Coturnix japonica: one gene and its partners. The protein of the gene in region 4 binds, or shares a complex with, the protein of the main gene of each other region. Links are inferred from orthologs where the notes say so. Each region holds a gene or a part of one and is shown on either strand. Other genes may lie near its edges.

What was found.
Region 1: the proteins of NEDD4L (region 4) and SMAD3 are in contact, whole or in part, in an NMR structure (PDB 2LB2), measured with the Homo sapiens proteins. The link is inferred for Coturnix japonica from reciprocal best matches to the Homo sapiens genes NEDD4L and SMAD3. Residues at the interface, in NP_001138439.1 of Homo sapiens: Glu392, Glu393, Arg394, Lys398, Gly399, Arg400, Tyr402, Val404, Asn405, His406, Arg409, Thr410, Thr411, Trp413; in NP_005893.1 of Homo sapiens: Glu178, Thr179, Pro180, Pro181, Pro182, Gly183, Tyr184, Leu185, Ser186, Glu187, Asp188.
Region 2: the proteins of NEDD4L (region 4) and AMOT are in contact, whole or in part, in a crystal structure (PDB 7LP3), measured with the Homo sapiens proteins. The link is inferred for Coturnix japonica from reciprocal best matches to the Homo sapiens genes NEDD4L and AMOT. Residues at the interface, in NP_001138439.1 of Homo sapiens: Lys202, Asp204, Leu206, Arg208, Tyr210, Val212, Asn213, His214, Arg217, Thr218, Thr219, Gln220, Trp221; in NP_001106962.1 of Homo sapiens: His235, Arg236, Gly237, Pro238, Pro239, Pro240, Glu241, Tyr242, Pro243, Phe244, Met247.
Region 3: the proteins of NEDD4L (region 4) and YWHAG are in contact, whole or in part, in a crystal structure (PDB 6ZC9), measured with the Homo sapiens proteins. The link is inferred for Coturnix japonica from reciprocal best matches to the Homo sapiens genes NEDD4L and YWHAG. Residues at the interface, in NP_001138439.1 of Homo sapiens: Pro444, Arg445, Ser446, Leu447, Ser448, Ser449, Pro450; in NP_036611.2 of Homo sapiens: Lys50, Arg57, Arg61, Lys125, Arg132, Tyr133, Gly174, Leu177, Asn178, Val181, Tyr184, Glu185, Leu225, Asn229, Leu232, Trp233.
Region 5: the proteins of NEDD4L (region 4) and SMAD7 are in contact, whole or in part, in an NMR structure (PDB 2LTY), measured with the Homo sapiens proteins. The link is inferred for Coturnix japonica from reciprocal best matches to the Homo sapiens genes NEDD4L and SMAD7. Residues at the interface, in NP_001138439.1 of Homo sapiens: Arg394, Asp396, Lys398, Arg400, Tyr402, Val404, Asn405, His406, Arg409, Thr410, Thr411, Thr412, Trp413; in NP_005895.1 of Homo sapiens: Glu203, Glu205, Ser206, Pro207, Pro208, Pro209, Tyr211, Ser212, Arg213, Tyr214, Pro215, Asp217.

What each region holds. Positions count from the first base shown.
Region 1 is NC_029525.1:17,086,061-17,089,576, forward strand, and holds part of SMAD3 (mothers against decapentaplegic homolog 3), read left to right. Parts: intron 1-1,667; coding exon 1,668-1,880; intron 1,881-2,890; coding exon 2,891-3,028; intron 3,029-3,516. UniProt on the Homo sapiens protein: Receptor-regulated SMAD (R-SMAD) that is an intracellular signal transducer and transcriptional modulator activated by TGF-beta (transforming growth factor) and activin type 1 receptor kinases.
Region 2 is NC_029519.1:12,266,907-12,270,422, reverse strand, and holds part of AMOT (angiomotin), read right to left. Parts: intron 3,095-3,516; coding exon 2,933-3,094; intron 1,550-2,932; coding exon 631-1,549; intron 1-630.
Region 3 is NC_029534.1:3,157,020-3,159,769, forward strand, and holds the end of YWHAG (14-3-3 protein gamma), read left to right. Parts: intron 1-646; coding exon 647-1,303; 3' UTR 1,304-2,249; downstream 2,250-2,750. UniProt on the Homo sapiens protein: Adapter protein implicated in the regulation of a large spectrum of both general and specialized signaling pathways. Binds to a large number of partners, usually by recognition of a phosphoserine or phosphothreonine motif.
Region 4 is NC_029547.1:653,734-657,249, forward strand, and holds part of NEDD4L (E3 ubiquitin-protein ligase NEDD4-like), read left to right. Parts: intron 1-223; coding exon 224-297; intron 298-1,404; coding exon 1,405-1,465; intron 1,466-1,791; coding exon 1,792-1,851; intron 1,852-2,378; coding exon 2,379-2,486; intron 2,487-3,018; coding exon 3,019-3,115; intron 3,116-3,516. UniProt on the Homo sapiens protein: E3 ubiquitin-protein ligase that mediates the polyubiquitination of lysine and cysteine residues on target proteins and is thereby implicated in the regulation of various signaling pathways including autophagy, innate immunity or DNA repair.
Region 5 is NC_029547.1:1,082,928-1,087,178, forward strand, and holds the start of SMAD7 (mothers against decapentaplegic homolog 7), read left to right. Parts: upstream 1-1,446; 5' UTR 1,447-2,309; coding exon 2,310-2,808; intron 2,809-4,251. UniProt on the Homo sapiens protein: Antagonist of signaling by TGF-beta (transforming growth factor) type 1 receptor superfamily members; has been shown to inhibit TGF-beta (Transforming growth factor) and activin signaling by associating with their receptors thus preventing SMAD2 access.

The DNA of each region.
Region 1 (3,516 bases), on a different chromosome or scaffold from region 4:
TGTTTGCTAAGAAAATAAAATGTAAAATCTAAAGAATATAACGTGTATTTTTTTGAAGTTTTACTGCTAAGGAAGTAATGTCCCAGTGTTACAACTGACGGTTTATTTGAACAGAACTGCCTGAAGCTTTTAAGACAGTTTACTTTGTGTCAGCTGAACTTTGGACTTCATCCCATGGCCATATTCCAAAGAATTACAAAGACCATAAACTAGCATGAGGCAAGCTGGCTAGAACAATAGGAGCAAGGTTGGTTTGAGCTGCAATTGTGTGTATTTTGATACCAAGCTGTAATTGATGGAACCTGGGGACTTTCAGTTCATCTTTTCATCCACGGACAAAACAAGGTGTTGCACGGTAACGATTTGGGACCTTTTGTCTCCTTTCTGCTTGTGCAGTGGCTTTGCAAACATTCTGGTTTTGATTTGGACCCTTCAATTGTCAAACATAAGATGTAACTGGAAGTTGTAGGTACCCGGTGATCTCTTCTGTATCGATGAAGTTTGAACTGGGAAGAATACAGAAAGCCCCAGTGAAAGCAGAGCTGCCAGCGCTGTGTGGACACTCGGAATGAAGTCAGGGAGTTTATCCTGGCTGAGGGCCAGGCCTGAGGTTGCATGCATGTTATTTGGGAGCAAGGCAGTCCCTTGGTGCACAGGAAATCCATTGTCAGTGCTTGCTCTGCAAATGACTTGACGCAAAAGCAGTAAGTGAAATAAGCACATGCCCCGTGGGCAAATCCATCAGAAACATAAGCCTCTGTGACTCCGTGTTGAAACACTATTTTTCTAAGCAGCGCAGAGGGAAAGGAAGTGAGCACACTTATTTATCTTGTTGCTTCTGAGGGAGTTAGGAGTAACTGCAATTAGTGCAGTTAGATAACATAAATCAGTAACTTCTGATGAACAGAGTTTAACAAACACCCCAACCACAGCTGGGGTTAGAACTGTTCTTAGAGCACATCATAGAGAGTGCAGAGCCTTCCTCTGCTGAAACTGCAAGCATCACTCCTTGGATTCAGGGGGAGCAGTTGAATCACCCAGAGCCATCTGAATGCCCCACCTTTCACTTGGCTGCCTCAGTCTGTAACCCCAGTAAAAGAAACGTTACCACCTATGGGGGAAATGGCTTTTCTTTTGAAAATGTGAAATCACTTGGACTGGAAGAAATAATCTTTTGATTATTGTGAAGGCAGTTATGTACAGTGTGTCAGTGTTAAAATAGCTGCAGAGATCCTTGCAGTCAGAGAAGTGGGGCTTGCCGGCTGCTTTGCACAGCATCACTGCAGGCAGGTTTGTGCTCTGCCCTTCCTAAGCTTTTCTTCTTCTTCTCTCCTCTCCTGTTATTAGGGTACTGCCTACCTACAAGTGGTCCCGTGCTTCATAGAAAAGCTAACTTCACTTTGAGGATTTTCTCCAAGATAGTGGAGTGACACCCCACTTACTCCATGACTTATATCTTTGACTATTTTGATTGTTCCACGTGCCAAAAGAATCAGGGGTGATGTAACTTCCTCGCTGCACTCCATTGAAATCTGTCAAGTAATTAAAGCTCGGTGGTTGCATTGAGCCCGAGGAATGAAGCAGAACAATATTTCAGAACAGGCGCTTTCCTCATCCCCCCTTTTCCTAAGGGCCTGTGACTCATTTTGCTTCTTATTTGTGTGCAGATCTGCAGCCCGTTACCTACTGTGAGCCGGCGTTCTGGTGCTCCATATCCTACTATGAACTCAACCAGCGCGTGGGGGAGACGTTCCACGCCTCGCAGCCCTCCATGACTGTGGATGGTTTCACTGACCCGTCGAATTCTGAACGCTTCTGCCTTGGTCTGCTCTCTAATGTGAACAGAAACGCAGCAGTGGAGCTCACCAGGCGGCACATCGGTAACTTCTGTCTCCTTATTTTCCTTGGTGTTTTTCAGGGCGGAAGGTGGGATCTGCCCTTAGAGCCTTTTAGTTACCTAATGGCATGCAGCTCTGTCCATTTTAGGACGCCATAGGATTGCAGTATCCATGGTGATTTGGGTTAATCCACCATAAAGGAACACTAATTGTATTCTTTTATAAAAATACAATTAAAGAGGCACTGAGAAACACTCCAGTAACTGCGTTTAACAGAGATGGAGTTTGTATTCTTGCACACAGTCTAAAGAACTTCATTTGGGTGGACATTATAGATCATCTTATGTATTCCTTATATTCCCCTATATATCTTTTTCTGGACAGTAAAGGTTCTTACAGGAGGATCTTTCCTTCCTTGTAAACTGATTTGTAGCACTGAAAAATAAATACAAAGAGAACAGCAACACACTCACACAGCAAACACGAGCCAGGATTCAGAAACCAGTCCTTAATTCAGCAGGTTCCTTGTGCAGCATGGAAGAAAGAAAGCAGGGCTTTGAAATAGCCATGTAACACCACAGCTAATATTTATTTGTGTGACAGAAATGAATTCCTGGATTTATTAACTGAGGTTTTAATAATATGTGCAAACTCTTATAAGAAGGGTGTGTCTGTCCTTGTGTACAAATACAGTCTAAAGGAAAAGGCAGCTGTTTGGAAACACTGGATGTTTTAATCCCAAATCAGTAATGAAGTAAATAAACAAGCAGTTGTATGCAGCTGTGGTGATTCAGAAAAGGTTGAAAACTCTATGTTAACCAGTGGTACATTCGTATAGAAGGTATCGTGGTCGTTGCTGTTTGGGAGGTGGTGAGACTGTGCAGCCCAGTCTGGCTGGAGCCCAGGTCTGAGCTGGTTTTCATTGCCATCATTCATGGTTCAGCTGCTTTCTGAGCTGTCAGGTGTGGAGGCTGTGCCTCTTCCCACTCACCTTCCAGGTTTTGCAGGTGGCCGTTCTGAACTAACCCTGACCTGTGCTCTGTGTTTCTCAGGAAGAGGAGTGAGGCTGTACTACATCGGCGGGGAGGTGTTTGCTGAGTGCCTTAGTGACAGCGCCATTTTCGTCCAGTCTCCCAACTGCAACCAGCGCTATGGCTGGCACCCAGCAACGGTCTGCAAGATCCCACCGGGTAAGGACACGCGCGGGTAGGAAGAAACAGTGCTGCACAGTTCAAGCAGGATCTGCCGTGTATTCAGCACAGTGTGTCGATGTTGTTGTTGTCTAATAGTCCTGCTTATAACTTCATATGAAAGAAGGTAACTTTGGATTTTTTTCTCAGTTTAGATTAGCCCATAATAAACTGTTGCTGGTTTCTGTTCTGTAGTGCAGCCTTTTTTCTGTGAGCTTTATTCTAGAGAAATTAGAATAGAATCTAGAATGTCACTTGTGAGGTATGCTGAAATGTCAGAGGAGACATTATTGTGTGTATTTGGGAAAAGCTGCTATTTTTGTTAGATACACACATGAGCTGGGATGAGAAGATGCTTTTCAAAAGGCTGTTTAGCCAGGCTTCCAAAACCTGCTGCTTTTTTTTTTTTTAACATTTAAAAGTACTTATATGTTCAAAAAGTAACTTTTTCATTTAGAAATACTTGAATAAAGATCCTCTTTTTTTAG
Region 2 (3,516 bases), on a different chromosome or scaffold from region 4:
AACAAAAGCCAAACAAGCAAGTCTGGAATGAGGAACAAAGCATACACCATTCTCCACTCCTACGTGCTGGCCCACAGAAAAATCTGGAAAACTCTAAGGGAAGCTCTGGCCATTTTTGTTCCCCTCACTATTATTGCTTTCACTCACTTTCTCCTTTCCTATGTGGCACTTAGGTGCAGCTTGAACCTTAAAAAAGAAAAAAAATCTTTTCCCTTGGCAGATGCAATTAAAGCACAGCTTAAGAACTGCAATAAGTAACTGCAAGTTTCTAGAATGAATCACACCACAACCTTTTTTTTCCCCTTTCTTTAAAGCAAGCCTTCTGCAAGGCTCTGGAGCAGCATTAAACTTCACCTTGCCATAAAAATCAAGCTGGTCTGTTGTTTTTTAGTTTTTGTTTTTTTGGTGGTGCAGTTTTTTCCTCTCTAAAAGGCGTCAGGTCTCTCTATCTAAGTCAATGAAAGAACTTACAGTTCTTCCAGACACCGTCTGCAGCTGAACACAATACGTAGTCTCATATAAAAGAGATGAGATCTCTGCTGAAAGATAATCTACCTCGGGAGTGAAAACAGTGGACTGAGTCTTATGCTTTCTTTTCTTATCTGGCTGCCATTTTAAGATCTTGCTTACCTGACTGACCCATACTCAGGGGGATGCTGATACCTCATCATAGGCCCATCGGATCTTCCCTGCTGGCTCACACGATGATCGCTATAGAAATGCCCCGAGTCCTGAGGTTTGCAGTTCATAGATGGGGTGGACACATTTTTGTAAGGATACTCCGGAGGAGGACCCCGCTGTTCCATCCCTTTCATGCTGGGCTGGGAAGGGGGCTGCACTGAGTTCTTGTAGAACTCACTGGAGCCAGAATTTTTATAAGGGTCGCTCGACTGCTGAGGAGAGAGAGGAGACAGAGGGGAGAGTGGAGCGCTTGTGACAGGCGCGTGCGCCTTGACACCGCTGGTGGCCAAGGACAGCTGCATCAGCCTCTCACTCAGGGAGCGGACGTGTCCTTGCTTGAGGTCCTTAAGTCCTTCATCCTGGTGGACCTTCCCTGGGCTCACCCGCTGAACCGTGGGCCGCCCTTCAGTCCTCATTTTTTGATTGGTCACCCCCGTTACATAAAACGCTGCCCCGACACTAGCATGCGGCTGGCCCCTGAAATACTGCGACTGCACTTTGGCTTCCTCATAGGTTGGGAGATCCTCACTGTTCTGGAGTCGCGGAGAGAGCTGCTTCTCCATGATGCTGTTGTCCACCTGTATTTCCTGGCCCTGGGGCTCCTGGCGGGCAGCATGAGTCACAAGCTGGTGGTCCTGGGAGCTCAGCCCTTCGTTCTGAGATGCTGGACTCCCAGTGCTGTTGAAAGGGGGGGCATTTCCTGTGGCTTGCTGGTGTAAGGCAAGAAGGTTACGGTTGTCATTTGGGTTTCCGTATCTGAGCTGCTCCTGCAGCAGGCGTTGTAAAACTGTCGTAGCTGCTTGCTCTTCTGAATTCCTCATCTCAAACTGTGGTGCCTTTTGGGTGGAATGTAAAAGCTGCCCTTGACCTAAGGAAAGGAGACACGGTTATTAGCGCCTGAGTAGATCAAGCAGAAGACATTTAAGACCAATAGCTTAAAATACAGAAGAAAAAGGCAGGTTAGATTACCAAAGGTTCCCATAACAATAAGGGTCATTAAGGCCCTTAGACCTAAGAACTTGAATGCTAGGGGGCAAAGACTCAAAGGTGATGAAAGGTGACTTGCAAGTTTATAGGAATATCAATCGACTGCAAGCTGCAGAGATACAGGCTGAATACCTCAGACAGCAAGGCTGCTTTCAGGAGAAAGGAGACCCATAATTCATAGCATGACGGTAAAAATGCCTGAGCCCTGTTTGTTTTGTACTTACAGCTACCAACAGTGAAATAAGTTTCCCATGTTTGCAGGCAGGCAAAGATAAAAGGGTGAAATCAGCAAATTGTCAGCTTTAAGGAAGGGGAAAAAAGAAGTTCTGTTGAGACTGCATATGGTTCACAGGAAGCAGATGCATCTCTTAGTTTAGATCAGTTAAAGCAAGTAATGAATACCTGGATAGCCAGCAGACTTTTAGAGTTAATAAATATGCAGAATGAGATCAGTACCTAGTCTCCCTACTACAGAAAACAGTACATAATGGGGCAAGTGAGGACTCTGTAACTTCCTGCTATACAAAGGTAACCAAATCCTAACACATCTAAATATCATCAGCTGAACACATGCAAATGCAAGAGGAAAATAGTTGTCTGATCTAAGGCACAGAAAAAGATCTACAAGTGACAGGAAAAAGCACTGTGAACCAATGAGAGAAATTCAAAGAGCAAACTCAATGCGCAAATTCAACAGGCAGTAACCAACAGCAGTTAGCCCTCACTCAATCTCCCAGTAGAGTCAGGAATTTGTCAAGGAAACGCATAGCCATTGGCCTTGCATAAGCTGAAATATCCAAAATGAGTAACATCTCTGAGGCATTTAACTAAAAGCAGAGCTACCTCTTAGCCAGAACAGTTCAGAACAGAGCCTGCTTTACAAACACACATTGGTGTTCTGGCACTACCTTCTGGCACCTTTTTTTCTGTACATTGTCCCTTAGGTAGTGGCAATTTGCACACACTAGCTCGTTCTGTGGCAAACCCAGGGATGAGCTGCAGGAGTCAGGAGACCTGGAGGTCTGCTTCACTCCAGGCCTCCACAACCAGCCAGTTTCCTCCCTCAGGACTGCCTACCACAGGAGTCTAACACTGGAATACAAGGCCTCAGTGGGTCAGGCAGACAGAACCCTTCCGCAAACTTTAATGAAGGGAAAGTTAAAATCCACCTCCGCCCAGGCTGCCTTATCAAACTACAAATTTGGGTTCTATTGAACGGCCAGAGAAGTGGTTCTTCTGAAATCCTGTTTGAAGTGGCACATACCTACGTCCTTCACTTTGACTTCCTTGGTAAGGAGGAGCGGTTCTGGCACATGGGGGGATACAGCCTTCCTCCCGCACGTCCAAAATTTCCACTCAGAGATGGCTTCAGTCTCCTCTTCAGTGGAACAGATCACTTGATACTCTCCTCGCTTCCAAAATAATTCTGAGGAAAGCATTGAAAACATCATTTTAATCGGCAGATGAGATCCTAGAAATAACAAACCTTGGCCCATATTTACTATTTTTCTTTGTAGTTTCTTGTTTTCTCCCAGAGCCCGGCAATTCTGATCCCTTTAGGATGAATGAGCCCCCACGTCCCTAACAATCTACTCCAGCTGCTGCTTTAATCACGACAATTTCTGCTCCAAGATTAAATGTTGCCAAGTAATGCTCTGTTCCATCTGCGCCTCCAAGTGAAACAGTGATTAAAACCCTCTAATTCTTTAACTCCATTGTTTTATTTTTTTGCTAAGAATGAAAGCTGCAGCACAGATGACGATACTCTGCACTTTCAGCTCCTTTTTCAGTGGTACTGTATATTGCAAATTAGAGCAGAAATCCTTTAACGAAAGCTGCTGTGCTTAC
Region 3 (2,750 bases), on a different chromosome or scaffold from region 4:
TCCGTCATCTCGGCTGCTCTGTGCTGCGTTGTGTGAGGCAGGGGGAAGCGATACGGTGCATTAAGACTCTTATTGTCAATGAAGAAAATCCCATGTGGGAAGAACATGCTCTTGCCACGTGAGCTTTCAAATCCTTATCTCCGTAGATGCCTTAGGCAGCTGTAATTTTAACATCTAACGTATTCTTTTGGCATCTCAAAAGAATGTATAATGCTCATGGGAAATGGAAAAGCTGAACACGCCGTAGCTGAATTTTCCGTCTTGTTAATCCATTCAGCTAGCTTGTAACTCTAGAACATCACCACCCATCTCAGTGCTTCCTCTCATCAGCATCTTCCCTCAGGTGAAACGCACCCATTTCCTCTGGGATTTCTCTCATTCTAGAAAACACTGATATTTCTAAGATGGAGGATACCTTGAACAGATCCCAGGCTCTATGATAGTGAAGTCCAACCATCAACCCATGGCTCCAATGGGACTTAGATGGTCAGAGAGGCCTTTTCCAACCTTTATGATGCTGGGGTTTGGGCCGACTCCATTCTCCCACTCCTACCTGGAGCACTTCAATGCTGAGTTGTGATGGGAAACAGCGAGTGGCCCCGTGGTTAACCTGAGCCCCTTTTTCTCTCTTCCTCTCTTGGTACAGGTGACAGAACTGAATGAGCCTCTGTCCAATGAAGAGAGGAACCTCCTGTCCGTCGCCTACAAGAACGTTGTGGGGGCACGGCGCTCGTCCTGGCGAGTCATCAGCAGCATCGAGCAGAAGACCTCCGCTGATGGCAATGAGAAGAAGATCGAAATGGTTCGGGCCTACCGTGAGAAGATTGAGAAGGAGTTGGAAGCCGTGTGCCAGGACGTGCTGAGCCTGCTGGACAACTACCTGATCAAGAACTGCAGCGAGACGCAGTACGAGAGCAAAGTCTTCTACCTGAAGATGAAGGGAGACTATTACCGATACCTGGCTGAAGTGGCCACCGGGGAGAAGAGGGCGACCGTGGTGGAGTCTTCGGAGAAGGCCTACAGCGAGGCCCATGAGATCAGCAAGGAGCACATGCAGCCGACCCACCCCATCCGGCTCGGCCTGGCGCTCAACTACTCCGTTTTCTACTACGAGATCCAGAACGCTCCGGAGCAGGCCTGCCACCTGGCCAAGACGGCGTTCGACGACGCCATCGCCGAGCTGGACACCCTCAACGAGGACTCCTACAAGGACTCAACGCTCATCATGCAGCTCCTCCGTGACAACCTAACGCTCTGGACAAGCGATCAGCAAGACGACGACGGCGGAGAAGGCAACAATTAGACCCCCAGATGGACTGGCAGCCGCACGCTGATGCTAACTACTGCAGTCTTTATTTTTTTCCCACAAGTGGGGGGGGTCAGGGGTGGGGGAGGGAACGGGAGGGGACACCTTCCCTGGGAGGCCCCCACAACCTGTCTTTGATTGCCTCTTTGACATTTTTGCCAAAACACCACTAGTGGAAAGTCAGGCTGGCTGTGCTGGTTATGGAATAGCAGCCTCACTGGCATATGGACTGTTCTGTAGATTATTAATACAAGTGGAGCTGTCTTTAATTTAACTTTATTGCTAGAAATAAAAGGGTTTTAAGATGAATTAACATGGAACGGAATGGCCCTCGTTTTTAAGAAAAGCAACACAAAAGGAAGTTCTGTGGTTCCAGTAAGGCTTTGTGCGTTTGTTTCCTCAGTTCACGTGCCGTGTGTCCGTACCGGAGCTCTGCCTGTCAGGGCCTCACTTCAAATCCCCACATTGAAAAGGAATCATAATTATAATTAAGAAAAAGACCCAAGAGTTTGGGGCTCGTAAAGCCCTGGGATTTAGGCCATTTGATCTTTTTTTGTGCGTGTGTGAAAAGATATTAGGGTAGCTTACAGTATTAACACTAAATTGCAGTTTACAGTATTTCTACATTACAGCCATATGACATCAAGCCTTTGATTGTCTGTTTTCTTTTGCTGGTTCTTTTGGCTTGCCTTCCTGATCAGTCCTCGCCTGTGGACTGGCTTTTAGCTATTCTGTGTCTCCCAAGGCAAGAAGACTGCCTGCCCCAGGAACATCAAAGCTGCTCTAGTTTTCGGTCAACAGCTTAACAGGTGCTTGGCTAGCGGCTGTTTAAACTATTTTAGTCCACAGCAAAAGGTTTAAGAACTTAATTAGGAAAAGGGGGAAGTGTTTAAACTTAAAAATGCCACTGAAAAAAAAAAAGGAAAAAAAAAAAAAAAAAAAAGAAAAAAAAAAGATAATAAAATTAATAATAATAATAAAAAAGAGAATTCAGGTCTGTATGTCATGTACTGTGTTTGGTATTTCAAAGACCATCCTGATTTAAGGTGCCACAGCTGCTTCCTCAGGGATTGCACTGCCATTTCACTCTGCCTGACTTTCTCCCACTGTACCATGAGGTTTGTCAGCAGATCTCAGGCACCCGGGCTCCCTTGTCGGTCACCAGGGAAGCCAGGTGCGATTTCTTTCTCCTGGGGAAGCTTGTGGTGTAATGAGTGAACTTCAGGAGCTTAGAAACTAATTTGGTAGAGAAATCCTCAAGGGAAGAGCTACAATCATAGACATTTCTATCAAGCATCGGGAGCCCAGGAACTTAGTTCTCTTCTTAACAAAAACCTTTTCCAAATCTCTTATCCGGGCGGGGGGTGGGAGAGGGCCATCTGAGTTGCTTAGCAGGTGATATTTACCCCATTTTTTGAGTGGATTTTGTTACTTAACTGTTGGA
Region 4 (3,516 bases):
AATAGAAGTTGGAAAATAATTTATTCTTAAGAGTGACCGTAGAATAATTTCTCCCTAATTATGTCACCCTTAAACATGAAATATTTTGATGTCTCATTAGCTATTGATGTGTGATATTTTTCTAGTACTGCTTGTAAAATACCTCTCATGGGTGGTGGATTTCATGAGGAATGTGTCCTGAAATAATGCCCTGTTTTATTCTATTTTTTTCTTTAAAATACAGACGTATCAAGTCGACCTGAAGCCAAATGGGTCAGAAATCATGGTAACAAATGAGAACAAAAGGGAATACATTGAGTACGTATATATTTGTAGAGTTCACCCTGAGCTTCACAACACACAGTGGTAATGCTTTGGAATTTACCCCACCGCAGTTATTGTAACACAGAGATTGTCAGACATCCTTTCAAAAGAAAATCCCTGTGTTAACATGGTTTGTTTGTTTACACTGCATTCCTAGAAAGTTTGGATTTTAACCTTTGCTGTTCGATGAACTACTGTAATTATGGCAGCCTATGTCATGTAGTAGGAAACAGTATTGATGCGCTGGCATAAGGAGCATTCAAGGAGGTATGGAATTGCCCTGAATGACTGCAGACACCAGTCTAAGTTACTCATTCTGAGCACCCTCCAAAACTGATGAAAAAAAATGGCCTTTCATGGGTACAAGAACTACAGTGTTACAGCAGGATATGAATCTGGCCCAATTTCATGCCTCACTTTGTGCACTGGCGGCCTCTGCTTTGTAGGTCTCCTAAGTGGTGAATTTCCACCCTGGGCTGCAGTTTTTCCTGCTGAAGTGCTATCATGGAATGCAAATGAAGAATAAGTGCAGAACAGAACAGTAAACTAACAAGAGAAAAGAGTGAAAATAGGACGTCACGTTGCTGAGGTCACATTTGCTTTCCCTTCAGTTTTTATTCAAGGAAGGGTTCAGGAACTCTGCACGTGTTTAAGTACTCCTTTAAGAGGATTACTGTGTACTCATTTCCAAACATTTGATGCAGTTTAATTTTTTCCAATGCTTTTCCCAAGAGTTATGTTATGATTAAGGAGTTCTAGTTGGTGCACAAGGAAAGAAAAAGAAGAGAAAAAGAGAAAAGGAGAGAAACTGCAGTTGTAGTTACAAATCTGCTTAGAGCTCTAGAATAATAGGAAAAGTCTCATCGTTTAGATACTTATTTCAAACAGTAAGTACATTACCTGGGGTCTAGACTACAATCTTGCTTAGAATAGAACATAGTAATGAATTTGTAGGCTGTATAATTTAATAAAAAGCAACTCAGTATCTCAAACATAAGAATATGACTGAGAGGTTCCTAAAGTTGTAAATGAGAAGCTGATATTGTTAGGGTTGCAAATTAGTCTTCTAATGAATGTGTTTATGTTTGTTATCTCCCACAGCCTGGTCATCCAGTGGAGGTTTGTAAACAGAGTTCAAAAACAAATGAATGCTTTTTTGGAGGTAAGGTTCTCCTTTTTGTCCTTTTCTTTACCCAAATTATGTAGGCATACAGCAGTGCCTGGTTACGGGAGTGGGAAGCTGTGCATGACCACACAGGTTCTGTTACTCATAAGATCATTCTCATTCAAGTTGACATTATTTGAGCTCGAAATAGCAGTTTTTAAATTAGAGACTCAATACTTCAGGAACTGTATATTTCATTTTCCAAACCCTTCTTTGCCCTCCATCACTTAGCTAACAGCTTTCCCTGAAGGCAAAGGTTCTATCAGAAGAAAAAAAAAACCACGTAATTACACATAGTTTACTGATTTTACTTTTTCTCCTAGGGATTCACAGAGCTTCTTCCTATCGATCTGATTAAAATTTTTGATGAAAATGAACTAGAGGTGAGTTTGCTTGATGTCGAGAGATGACAGATTGGTAATGCCCATTGCAGAGATGCATTATGTTCTCAATTCATTAGGTCATCATGGAGTTTGGAGAAAAAGGTTCTTTGTTTTAGTGGGAAATGAGGATTTTTTTTGCCCAGAATAATAAATCTCTCAATCAAGTAAAAGTACAAAAAGTATCAGTTACTCACTGAGGTGGTTTAGTACATGCATACATAAAGAATGCAAGTAGTTTGCTGAGTTAATGACATATACTGGCCATGTTTTCAGCAAATGTGCTGTAAAAGATGCCATCACATGAAGCATACATACTTCATATTGCATAGTGTTTCTCCAGTAAAGTGGGGTTATCCTTGAGAATTGTCCTGAAGAGAAGCTCAGTGCCACTTTATGTCTGTATTTGTATTTGTACAGCATTAACTGTTTGAGAGACCAGGCAACAGAGGGAGAGGTGGTTTATCTGATGAAGCCTTCAGGGTGATACTGGTACTATCTTTGATTAACATCATTGTTTCCATATCTAGTTACTGATGTGTGGCCTTGGTGATGTCGATGTTAATGACTGGAGACAGCACACGATCTACAAAAATGGCTACTGCCCAAATCATCCCGTCATCCAGTGGTTCTGGAAGGTAACACCCTTATCATGTTTGGTTTCTCTGACGATTCCTAGAAGTCAAAGATCCTTTAGTGTGCAGTGAAGTCAGTTATTGAATCATTTTTCTTCTCAAAAACTACGGAAAAATACTTTGGTATATTCTGGAAATGGCAGTTCCATTACTGGAGTCTGTATCGGAATGACCCAGACTGACAAAGTCTCTCCAGTTTTATTGAAGTGGTTTGCAATCTTTCTGAAGTGCATTACTTCTATGAAAAGTGTATGTTTGCAGGAGAACTAGGAGAACAGTTTTCCCTGTACTAGCCCAGAAGTCTTGTGAGTGAGTCACCTCATACAGATGAATGGCAGTTGTAGCTCCTGGCTGTTGCCCAGACATTGTCACTTTCTTTGTTAGAAGGGAATTGTTTAACCAGAGAAAATGTGGCAGGCCATCCTTCAAAGTTAGATATCCATTTCTTACCACGTAATACAAATAAATTCTGTTTTGCTTATTTTAACAAAGATATCTTTAGCCATGAAAAGTCACCCTGTCTGCTTCTCAACAGGCTGTTTTACTGATGGATGCAGAAAAACGCATTCGCTTACTGCAGTTTGTTACTGGCACATCGCGAGTGCCTATGAACGGATTTGCTGAACTTTACGGTGAGCTTCCTGCCCTCTGCCCACAGAACACACACTGCAGGTGGCGAGCACAAACACCACTGAAGTACAGGCATGGCCAACATTTATTCCCAGATAGAGCTTCTCCCACTGGATGCCAACAGCACTGTAGAAACTGGGGGGCGCTTGGAAGAGAAACAAAGTTCTGTTCATGGAATCATAGAATCGTTTGAGTTGGAAGGAACCTTTAAAGGTCATCTAGTCCAACTGCCCTGCAATGAAGAGGGACTCATATAGCTAGATCAGGTTGCTCTGAGCCCTGTCCAGCCTGACCTTGTATGTCACCAAATATGGGAAATTCACCACATCTCTGGGCAGCCTGTGCTAGTGCTTCATCACAGAATGGCCCCAATTGGAGGGGACCTCAAGGATCACAAAGCTCC
Region 5 (4,251 bases), about 430 kb from region 4:
GACATGTAACATACAGCATGTGACATGTAACATACAGCATGTAACATACAGCATGTGACATGTAACATAAATCATGTAACATGTAACATGCAGCATGTAACATGTAACATACAGCATGTAACATGTAATATGCAGCATGTGACATACAGCAGGTAACATAACATCAGGGAGCACATAACATTTAACACATAGCAAGTAACATCTTACAGCACTGTCATATGTAATTTTAAATATGTAACATGTAACATTAACATAACATACAGCGTGTAACATGTAACGCCATACAGCATGGTGACATGTAACAGCATGTAGCATGTGATACCATCTAGCACTGCAACATGTAACATGCCATATGCCATGTAGTATTATATAGCACTGCAACATGTAACATGCCATATACCATGTAGTATCATATAGCACTGTAACATGTAACATGCCCTATAGCATGTAACACCTGGCACATAACACACTAGGTAGCACACAGCATGACACACAGCATGTAGCATGTACCAGCGCTGCATGCAACACCCAGCAGGCAGCACGCTGCATGCATGCAGCACCGCACACACAGCACACAGCGCATGGCAGCCCTGCAGTAACACGCCCCTATGCAGGAGCTGCCCCACACTTATGGGGGGGGTCCCCATCCCTTAGGGCTCATTGCCGGGGGTCACCCCTGGGGACCCCCCTCTCCCTGCAGGCAGCAGGACCATCCCATTCCCCCCCCCCCGCCGGGCACCCCGCGTTGCGCAAAGCGCCGTCGGATCAGTGCGGGCGGATGGAGATAAATATATAATTCCTTTTTTTTCCCCTCCCGGAGCGACGCGCTGTCTAGACGCCCACGTGATGGGGCTGCGCGCAAACGGAGCGGGCGGGGGGGAAAGGGGGGTGGGGGGGAAGGGAGGCAATAGGGAAAAAAAAGAAGAAGAAAAGGGGGGCGCGGCCACAACGCGCACGCACCGTCGCTTCTCCCCCCTCCTCCCTACACACACATACACACCTCCCCCCGCGCAAAAATAATTAGGGGAAAAAAAAAAAGGCAAAAGGGAACGACGGAGCCGCGGCGGTGCGGGTGTGTGAGCGGGGAGAGCAGGGGAAAATAGGGGCAAAAAGAGGAGGAGGAGGGAGAAGAATCACCGAGAAAAGCCCGAGAGGCTGCGGGGAGGGTGGGGGCGGGGAGCCGCGGCCGCGCTTACATTCCGCGCTTCATTCGCCCCGTTTCTCTCCTTGGCAGAGCGGAGCGGAGCGGGGACGCGCGATGCTGCTCGCTCCGCGGACGAACGCGCCGAGGCCGCTCCGCACGTAGGGCCGCCGGGCTCCTTTTTTAGACTTATTTTACATTTTTATTTTTTTAAAGTTTTTTTTTTTAATTATTATTATTTTTTTATTTTTTAACCTCTTTCCCCCCCCCCCTCCCTTCTTCTCCCACCCCCCCCCCCCCCCGCCCCGTCCCTTTGCCTCGCCCTTCTCCATTTTTTCCGCCCCTCTCCCCCTCTCGTCGCGGTGCGTTGATGGGAGCTGCGGCCCCCGGCAGCCCCACGGCTCCCCCCGGCTCTGTGCTCTCTCCGCACCCGCGCTGGGCCGCCCCCCCCCGCGCGATGCGCCGCGGAGCCGCGCTCTGAAACCGCGCCGATTTCTCCCATTTTCCCTTTTAATCCTTTTTCTCTCCTTTTCCTAAAGGAGAGCGGCACCCCCGGGTTTTTCTCTTCCCCCCCCCCGACTTTTTTTGCTTTTCACCTCTCGCAGCGTGGGCAACCCTTGAGTGCTGCTCACTCCTCTCTCCCCAGCCAAGCAAAGCGGAGTGAAACTGCTCCTTTTTCTACCATTTTCTTTTTTGTTTTCCTTTTTTTTTTTTTTCCCCTCTCCTTTTTCTCTCCTTCACTTACTAAAGGGGAACGGCACCCCCGAACTCTCCCTTTGCTTACCCGCTTTTTGCTCCCCTTCACCTCGCGGCGCGGTCACCCCTCGCGCTGCCCACCTCCAAGCAAAGCGCCGTGAAACTGCGCTGATTTGTCACTTTTTTGCGTTTTTTCCCACTTTTATCTTTTCGTATTTTTAAAGCCGAGCACCGCCTTCCCTCCGAGCTCTTTCTCCCCCGCTTTTTTTCCCTTTTACCTCGCGCAGCACGAGTGCCCCTCACGCTGCGCACCCCCCCGGCCATCAAAGCGCGGAGCCTGGCGCATGCACCACCCCGGCCGGGCCCCCCCCCCGCTCGCCGCTGCCCCCCGCCTCGCCCCGGCTGCCGGCCCCTTCATGCTCGGCGCACGCCATGCCCGTGCCGTAGCCGGGGGCCCCTCCTCACGTCCCGCATGTTCAGGACCAAACGCTCGCTCCTCGTCCGACGGCTCTGGCGGAGCCGCGCACCCGGCGGCGGAGAGGAGGAGACGGGAGACGGCGCAGCGCCGGCCGAACCTCGGCCGCACTCATGCGGCGGGGGGAACCGGGGGTGCTGCCCGGCCAAACCCCCCCGCGGGGGCGGCCGGGGGGCGGCGGAGGGCGAGCTGAAGGCGCTGACCCACGCCGTGCTGAAGCGCTGCAAGGAGCGGCAGCTGGAGGGGCTGCTGCGCGCCGTCGAGTCCCGCGGGGCGGCCCGCACCCCCTGCGTGCTGCTGCCGGCTCGAGGGGAGGCGCGGCTGGGAGCGCAGCGGGACGCGCTGCCCGCGCTGCTGTGCCGGGTGTTCCGCTGGCCCGAGCTGCGGCACGGGGCGCCCCTCAAGCGGCTCCGAGGCTGCTGCCAGGCCGACGGCGCGGCGCCCACCGAGCTCGTGTGCTGCAACCCGCACCACCTCAGCCGCCTCTGCGAGCTCGGTAAGGGGCGATGGGCGGGGGGATGTGGGGACGGGGTGAGGATGGGGGCGGCTCTGATGTGGGGGTGGAAGGTGGTCGTGGTGTTGGGTGGGGGTGGCGGTGAATTGGGCCGGGGGCTGGGGGTGATTCTGTCCGAGGGATGGGTGTCGTGGCTTTGTGATTCTGGGTATCCCACATCCCAACTCGTGTAGTGTGCACTGGGAGTTGACAGATGGGGTATGTCCTAGGGGTGGAGTTGGTAGGGATGTGGGGATGGAGGTGGTGGTGGGGATGGAGTGTGTCCTGGGGTTTGAATTAAATTGGGATGGGGCTGGAGATGATGACATGGGGCTGGGAATGGAGTGTGTCCTATGGATGGGGTTTAATGGGGTGAAAATAGAGGTAGTGAAATGGGGATGGTGATAGTGATATGGGGCTGGGGCTGGAGTATGTCCTAGAGATGGCATTAAATTGGGATGAGGCTGAAGTGTGTCCTAAGGATGGGATATGTCCTAGGGTTGGGGTTTATTGAGGTGGGAATGGAGGTAGTAATGGGGATGGAGTATGTCCTAAGGATGGTATTGAGATTGGGCTGGAGAATAGTGATATTAGTGATATGGGGCTGGGGCTGGAGTATGTAATAGGGACAGCACATAATGGGGTGGGAATGGAGGTAGTGAAATGGGGATGGGACTGGAGGTAGTGGTGGAGTTGGAGTATGTCCTAGGGATGGGGTATAATGGGGTGGGAACAGAGGTAGTGAAATGTGGATGGAGATGGAGGTAATGATGGGGATTGGACTGGAGAGGTGGGCATGGAGTATGTCCTTGGGATGGGGATGGGGTATAGTGGGATGGAGATGGAGGTAATAAGGGTGGGACTGGAGGTCCTGGTGGGGATGGCATGTGTCCTGGGGTTGGGGATGGAAGCAGTGGTATAGGGCTGGAAGTGGGATATGTCTTAGGGCTTGGGTATGTGTTAGGGATAAGGATGATGGAGGTAGTGATACAGGGCTGGAGCTGGATATGTCCTAGGGGTTGAGTATGTCCTAGGGATAGGAATATAATGGGAATGATGGGGCTGGGGTATGATGGGGTCCTGGGACTGGGGCTGGGGTATGGCCTGGGGATGAAGATGGTACTGGTATGGGGATGGGGTCAGGAATGAGCTATGGCCTGGAGCTGGGCTGTGGCCTGGGGACAGGGATGGAGGTAGTGATATGGGGATGGGGGTGGGTTATGGCCTGGGGCTGGAGTGTGGGGTTGGAGGTAGGGATATGGGGATGGGGCTGAGGTATGGTCTGGGAATGGGAATGGAGGTAGTGATGTGGGGCTGGGGTCAGGGATAGGGATGGGGTTGCAGATGGAGGTGGAGATGGGTTATAGGAATAGGGTAGGGAATCAGGTTGGGGTCATGAATGGGGATGGGGTTGCAGATGGGATGGTATGGAAGTGGGGACGTGGG